Daphnia pulex: one gene and its partner. The protein of the gene in region 1 purifies or fractionates together with the protein of each later gene. This does not show direct contact. Links are inferred from orthologs where the notes say so. Each region holds a gene or a part of one and is shown in the gene's direction. Other genes may lie near its edges. The genes, in order: cell division cycle protein 123 homolog and eukaryotic translation initiation factor 2 subunit 2-like.

Region 1 (4,523 bases):
TTCTGACTTTAAGTACGTTCAAATACATTTACTAACTAGTTTGTAAAAATGACGCGTAGCAATCATAGCATCACTATTTGATGAATATATTTTGCACGCGTCCTTCTACCCTTTCCTTATGCTAACACGCTCAACACAAACACGCTTCATGCATATCCTTTCCACGATATATATGGAATAACGTTTACCAAGGACAAGGCCCCTGCTTTACATGTTCAAAATTGCCTTAGGCAGGATCAGCGAAAATTATGTATAGCTTGCGACCAACTCTAAACAAAAGCTAATTAATAAAGGAATTCCTATACAAAATAAATTTTGATAAGGAACAACACGGAAATAGTTCGAAGCAAAAAAAAAAAAAAAAAAATGTTTTTTCTAACCTGCCCAGGGTCCGTAATCCATCAGATTTAAATTCAATTTGAGCCAGGAACCAAGAAACGTAGTAAAAACAAAGTGGCAAACATTCCAGGTAAATTTTAATGCAATCAGTGATAACATTACAGTGGCAATCCATTCGAGCACGGAAAATGTCATCTTGGCGATTCTAAAGTTGCGTGGTGTTTGAAGGTAGACTCCAGTCCACCGGTCGGTTTTTTCTTTTCAAACACAGCTGGAAGGAAAGAGCAAGCAAAGGGGCGGTTACTCAAGAGGTGCTGTCTAATTTAAGGCTTGGGAGACTCCCATCTCATTTTCAGTCTTTTTATATTTGGCTTTATTTCATAGATGCTTATAAAAGACACTTTTACATGGCATTGTGGGCGAATTCAAGGTTACGTCAGACTTCTGTTGAAGCAAAACATTCTTGCCGGATCCGCGAATGGTTTCCAAGCGAAGCTGTGTGCATTTTTCTGCTGATGAAACTGAGTTATACAACTAAACTCACAATCATAGAAATCAGTTTATAGATGTTATTTGTGGGTTGATACATCTCTATATTAATTCTTTATCTTCTATTCTACATTTCTACTTCAATTCTCATTTATCCGAATCTGCTCTTCCGTCCATTTATCCGGCTGCGTCCGAGTTCTGCTCTCTTATATATAACTATTAAATTTTGTTTATTAAGTTTTTTGAGCTATCTTTTGTCATTTTATGTTTTATATTTAAAATTACTTCTCCTGGAAGTGTCTAAAGAGAGAAATATAAGCTATCTAAATTTCACTTTCTAAAATTTCATGTTTTACGTGATTACGGAAGTAACCTGCAGTATTTGTTGCTAAGGTAGTGCACGGTAGACTGCAGCGCCTGTACAGGTGGTTTTAAGAATTTAAATTTGAAATTCTAAAAAGGGAACCGCGAAGTCTTATACTAACACAACTTGTAGTCGAAATTTTCAGTCGTTGAACCTCAACACATTCGCTTTCGTTGCGTTTTCCTCGAAAATATAAAACCCGCCGGCACTCGGCAGCACTACTACATTAAAATAAGCTTTTGTAATTTACCTTAAAAAATGCTATAGGCTAGTACAGCTTATGATTTTAGTTAAATTTTTATTTTCATTTTCGAAATCGTTCACAAAATTAATATATACTAGTCCGAGAATCTGCTACAGTTGGGATAATTTCTTTAATGAAACACACACATATTTGATCGAAATCAGGAACCAGAATTTTTCTTTTGGTCTGCGTGATCTAAGTATATACCTTTTCACGTTCTTCTTTTATGGTGTAAATCTTATTCAGATAAACATTTTTTGTCATTTATGGGCCATTTCCCGCCGACTTCAGGCGTCTACGATACCTCCCGCAGGAGAACCCTCCTCTGTGGCTCTTCCCCACGGCAGACTTGCATTTTCGCCGTTCAAAATTGTAATGCTAAAATATTTTCAAGGTATCCTGTGTTACCGTCTCAGGCTCTATAGTCTCACGCTAGTTGTTGTCTTTATTGACGGGGAAAAATCCCCGAAAATCCCTTAAGGCAAAATTATTTTGTGATGGCCATGATAATTTCAATGAACGGACAGCTTTTTGGGGCATTCATTCCCAATTTTAGCTGCCAAAATCACATCAGCGAAACTTAAATTGCTATCTCAGTTAATTCAATAGGGCAAAGCCCGATTTCAATGCATGAAGCTGACGTTATGCTGCAGTATAGCGACCACCTTAGCGGTCACTCGTTCGGACTCTTTCCCCCAAATCAACCTTGTTCCCGTCAATAAAGTTCCCTGATTACGTCTTGTGAACAATTGTAAACAAAGAAATGGCCTCTAAAACCAACAGCTGTACCATCATATTATTATGGCCTTGTGCGGATGTGGCCGGCAGACTTGCCGGATTCGAAATTTGAAAAATAATCGCGGTTGAAAATTCTAATAAAAATTTTTTTAAATTATTTGTTAGCGCTAGAAATAATCGCCTGACAAGTCTCACGAAGTGCACCAGGGGTGCATCTGTTTTTAATCACGTGGCAGTTCTCAAATAACACCATTCTTGAATAAGTTCTAAAGTATTAAGTTTAAACTCCTATTAGAGTTTGGAGCTACTGTATGCGTGTCGTTATCTCGTCACATATGACGTTCCTTTAAAACCACTTATTCTTATAAGGCTTGACTCTTGAGCGCCATTCACGGATACACGGGGATTTATGAACTTGACAAAACTATCGGTAGATGAGAAAGCAATTTCTAGACATTTCTCGATTGACTATGCAAGCTGATACAAGGATAAAGAAAAAAGGTGGCAAGCTGGCAGAAGAAAGATGGCTGTTTTTAAAACACTTCAATTTTGTAAGAGTTATTACACTATTAACTCTGAGCGCTACCTTAGACAGACTACACCGTCGTTAATTTCATTGAATACTATCACCCCATAAGCACATGTAAAAACCGGTTATTTCAAAAACCATTAAAAAAATTTTTGAATTGAATTGAATTTTGCGATATAGTCCATGCTCAATTTTCACATCGATTTTGTCTTAGTGTTCGCTGTTCTTCGGTATTCCGACCAATTTTTTCAATTGTTGTGACTCCTTTTAAACCAAGAAGGACCAGCAGGGCACGGTTGCTTCATAAATTTGATTGTGTTTGATTTGATATTTTATCGTTTCCGAGAGACTCGTTTGGAATGCGCCGCCCACATACAAAACCAAATTTTCTCTGATCCTCGTTTCAATTTTCTCTTCATAGATGGCGTTATCGACCAATAACAAAAGCAAGTGACAGTTTTGGTTACTATTAGTTACTGCATATGCATGGCTAGTCTACTGAATTTAGAAAGCAAATGTAAGAACACGATTGACACGAACAAATTTGGTATCTGATAAACCTGCGTGGAACTTAGTTAAGGGATGAAAAGCCACGAAATCCAGGCGTGTTCTTTTTCTGAATGGTATCCACTGTTCAAGAAGGTGACGTTTCCTAGCAAAATTATTCCGTTAACTCAAGAGTTTGTCGACTACCTGCTCGCCGATAACTTGGTGTTGCGCAGCGATCAAGCGTTGCTTACATATTCCCGTGATGACTCCAGTGATTCTGAAGATGATGAAGAAGGTTGGGCTAAGGCAGAAAGCGAGACACCTACACTTGAGGTTTTAATTATTAGCATTTTGGTTTTTCTGTATTTTATAATTCTCGCTTTTCTAGGCCCCACATTTTGAAGACATTGACAAAGAGATTACCACAGCAATAGCTGAATTTGGTGGTAAAGCCTTTATAAAATTAAACTGGAGTTCTCCCAAGGTTGTGTTAATATTTTTTATTTCTAACTTAAATTTTCATATTATCATCGAGGTATTATGAATTCTGCAGGATGCTGCTTGGATTGCATTAAATAATTCTCTTCAGTGTCACATGTCTGCTGATGTACATCTACTGCTGAAAAGCTCTGATTTTATTCTTCATGATCTGACTGAGCCATTCAAAGTAATATTGTTCAACATCAATTAATCAGCGACTTTATACAACAAACTCATCAGCCACTTTATTACAGGAATGTGAAGATCAAAATGTCAATCAAACTCCTGTGAAGTATAATCTTGTTTTGAGAAAGTGGGTTGAAATAAACCCTGTGAATGAATTCCGTTGTTTTGTCCAGAATAAAAATCTAATAGGTAACGTTAGTGGTTTTACATCATGTTTCAAATTTAAAACATTGATTCTAATTGTGTCAATTAGGAATTTCACAGAGAGATGATACTCAGTTTTCTCCCTTCATTGAAAAAGAAAAAGAAGACATAGTTCGTGACATTGTCAGTTTTTTCAAAGAACAGATCCGTCCTAAATTTCACCTCGACAACTATGTGATGGACGTATTTCGACAACGAAAGGATAAAATTGTTTTGATCGATTTTAATCCTTATGGAGTTATCACAGACTCTTTGTTGTTCGACTGGAATGAAGATTTGCTACAGATAAGCGAGGCTTCAAAGACAACATCGCCTTCCGATTGGTAATTACTTCAGCTTGATTTTAAAATCGTCACAACTTATAATTAATTCAATTTGTTCTTATTCTCAGCGCTAGCGCTACGCCCGATTTTCGCTTCATTCCCGAAGAATCAGGGATCCGTAGCAATCCACTCCGTCGT
Region 2 (3,389 bases), on another chromosome or scaffold:
TACTACGAAGTCTTCAGTTAATCGCCCAATACTGGCAGTTGAACCTAACTATTAATGAAATAAGAAGAATTAAGAATTAATGAAAGGTTATGTTCAAGCCAACCACAAACAGCACTGTGTGCGACAGTAGATTACCTTTGATGACAATGTAGGCAGGCACACTGAATCAACCCCTAAGAAATTTGCTAAATACGCCACTTCTTTATCGACAAACTCACGCATAGGTCGTAGAAAAACAGTACCGGTACGAGAATCCGTAAATCCCTGTAGTAAAGAAAAATGTAAAGAAATTAATTTATTCGTTATAAAGTAGAAAGAATCGACGACAACTTACTATCTCATGGGCAATCTGAGCCCCCCTTCCTTGACCGATAGCAGATAGAAGTTGGCCGGCCAATCTAGTAGCATTTGGACCTAAAAATACTTTTGCGTGATTCAATCGAGTAGCTAAAAGTGTGATCAAACGCTGTTTCAAACGAATTAGTAAATCTTCCTTTGCCGTAAGACTTTTCACAGAACCAAATAGCGTCTCCAGTTGGCTTTCATAAATAGAAGATTCGATTTGGTAAGAATTCATTTCCAGCTTCAAGTCATTGAGGTCTGGTGCTAAACAGTACTCAAGGCTACAGATGTAAACATCAAAGCCATTTTTTTTAGCCTGCTCAAGAACAAAATCAGTGGTTTCTTTCCTTTCGTGTTTGGAAAGATTCAAAATTAAACCTTCTAAGAAAGGTATAGAAACTAAGAATTATTCTGATTTCTTTATACTGGCAACTGAATTTGAATTACCGTCTATGTGTACTAAAGTAGGTTTGAACACCATTTTAATTTTTTTACTTTCTGAGAGATCCAAGCCTTCTTTAATAAGCTTTACCATGGACCCACTAGATAATCCTCCAGAATATGCCAATAAAACATGTTCATTATGTTTAAGAGCATGTGCTTTCCCAATCGTGGAACGGAATTTATGGACAGCATACTTCATAAAACAATCACTGAAACAAAAAATTTTTGATGATGAATTAAGAAGATTTTTTTTTAAGTTCGTTTTAGACTCACCGACAGTATGGATCTGTTTTACGTAGAAGAACTTGAGCCTTTAGTATGTTACATCTGCGGCATATTGCATCTGTACTAAATGACAATTTTTGTTTAAATGGTAGTTTCGGGTTACAAGCAAATAACCAAATCTTACACTGATAGTTTGGGAGTTGCGACCATGGTCTCTTCGGCTAAGTTTTCTTCGTTAATAGAACACATCATGAGCTTATTATAGAGGTAAGAGGTATGCTGATATAAAATTATCAAATTACTAAAAAATTAGATTGTCAAAACGAGGCAGAGTACGCATTTACACGATTACACGATCAAAATTCCCGAATCAGGAATCACGTTGCAGTAAATAACTAAATATGTCGTCTGCTAATTAACATGCTTGCCAAACAACTGACATTAATATTTTATTTTGATAATATCTTGAAATTTATTCTCTAACTTACATAAAATAATCAAAATACGTAACATATAAATTAAACTTCCAATTCAATGAGTTCTTAATGGCATTTATGTGGTTCACATGACGTAATGGCAACAGCTTAGCTGTGTGTAAAACAGCATTCAGGTCTGCCATTGCATCAGCTGGTATTCCGGCTAGACACGTTTACACCGTTATATTTGTTAATAACTTGTGCTACAAAATTAGTATTGTTTAATCATGGCAGAAGAAGAAGCAGTAAGTTATTGTTTAGAGTGTTTACCATGTCAAATTATATAAATTGTTTTTTTTTAGATTTTTGATCCATCTTTGAAGAAGAAAAAGAAGAAGGCCAAGAAGACCCCTTTCGATTTTGACGCAGCTTTAGCTGGTGGAACAGTTGGCAATGAGCCGGTTGAGTTAGAAGTAGGAAAGGAAAACGAAAATCCTGAAGAGGAAGAAGTAAAAGAAGTAGATGACTTAGATCTTGAAAGCTTTGGCAAAAAGAAGAAAAAATCTAAAAAGAAGGCTTTCCAACTTGAAGATACTGAAGTAGCCTCACCTGAAGTTGAAGGACAAGAAGGAGAAGCAGTTGAAGATCAAGAGGATTTAGATCTTGACTTTTCTAAAAGCTTGAAAAAGAAGAAGAAGAAGAAAAATACTGGAGCAGTTGAAGAAGAGAAAGACGAGAAAGGTAATAAAGAAATACATTATGGTTTGAATTCAAAAGTCAACATTTTTTACATTTGTTTTACAGAGGAAAATGCTGGAGTTGCCTGGACCACTGATGGAGATTACACTTATGATGAGCTTCTTAATCGAGTATTTAATATCATGAGAGAGAAGAATCCTGAAATGGTAGCTGGAGAAAAGAAAAAGTTTACAATGAGGCCTCCCCAGGTTGTGCGAATTGGAACCAAGAAAACGTCATTCGCGAACTTTTCTGAAATATGTAAAACGTAAGTTATATTTGTTACTCTTTTGACTACTTCTCTTACGACAGAATTATTTTGCTTCTCAGGTTACATCGACAACCTAAACACGTATTGGCATTTCTTCTGGCTGAGTTAGGTACCAGTGGGTCTGTTGATGGTAACAATCAACTCATCATCAAAGGTCGTTTCCAACAGAAACAGATGGAAAACGTATTACGTCGTTACGTTAAAGAATACGTCACTTGTCATACGTGTCGATCACCTGATACAATTCTTCAGAAAGATACTCGACTTTTCTTCCTCCAATGTGAAACATGCGGTTCAAGATGTTCTGTAGCCTCCATCAAATCTGGTTTCCAGGCCGTTACCGGAAAACGCGCGGCCATTCGAGCCAAAACGGCGTAAATTACTTCGTACAGAAAAAAATATGTGCTGTCTTTTGTCATTAATGAGAGAAATACATTTTCTTTCCTTTACCATTTTTTTCCAAGCAAAATTTCCATAATTTTAGGATAAGCACAATTGTTTTACGCCACAATTTTGTGTTTAATTACTTTCAATAATCTTAGTTACAACGAATTCTAGTGTGTTACAATTTTATATTTTATGAACAAATTTTTACTTCCACTCAAACTCCATGGTCTAAGGACATTCGACGGGAACTTCGTTCTGTTGCTCCGAAGTAACATCTTCGCCATTGCTAGCTTCGGTATCTATTATTTCGTAAGGATCACTGTCGCTTGTTGAATTTGATGCTTGTTTCAGAGGAGAGTCGCAATCACGCTGTATCAAAGAAATATGGTCTAGTTGCGATTCACGGTTGTCCTTAGTGGTTTCCAGTTGAACTGGAGAAAACCAATTTCCAATTATAGGAACCATCGAGAGTGTCAGCGTAGGAGGTTGTTCAGTGGCCTCAGAGCTCAGCAATCCTCCTCCATTCAGTTTCGACTGGCCTTTATAATGAGGAATATACAAGGCTA

What was found.
Region 2: the proteins of cell division cycle protein 123 homolog (region 1) and eukaryotic translation initiation factor 2 subunit 2-like purify together in Homo sapiens (affinity purification with mass spectrometry; 4 studies listed by BioGRID and IntAct, counting the BioPlex papers as one, with this or other methods). This does not show direct contact. The link is inferred for Daphnia pulex from reciprocal best matches to the Homo sapiens genes CDC123 and EIF2S2.

The regions. Positions count from the first base shown.
Region 1 is NC_060019.1:12,366,177-12,370,699, forward strand, and holds the start of cell division cycle protein 123 homolog, read left to right. Parts: upstream 1-1,559; 5' UTR 1,560-3,285; coding exon 3,286-3,525; intron 3,526-3,580; coding exon 3,581-3,676; intron 3,677-3,745; coding exon 3,746-3,859; intron 3,860-3,926; coding exon 3,927-4,047; intron 4,048-4,111; coding exon 4,112-4,385; intron 4,386-4,453; coding exon 4,454-4,523. Other genes in the region: very-long-chain 3-oxoacyl-CoA reductase-B-like, read right to left, coding at 381-534. UniProt on the Homo sapiens protein: ATP-dependent protein-folding chaperone for the eIF2 complex. Binds to the gamma subunit of the eIF2 complex which allows the subunit to assemble with the alpha and beta subunits.
Region 2 is NC_060020.1:3,233,578-3,236,966, reverse strand, and holds eukaryotic translation initiation factor 2 subunit 2-like, read left to right. Parts: upstream 1-1,574; 5' UTR 1,575-1,714; coding exon 1,715-1,732; intron 1,733-1,789; coding exon 1,790-2,433; intron 2,434-2,495; coding exon 2,496-2,814; 3' UTR 2,815-2,885; downstream 2,886-3,389. Other genes in the region: cytoplasmic tRNA 2-thiolation protein 2-B-like, read right to left, coding at 1-48, 136-264, 335-723, 790-995, 1,060-1,134, 1,196-1,263; uncharacterized protein LOC124192455, read right to left, coding at 3,052-3,389.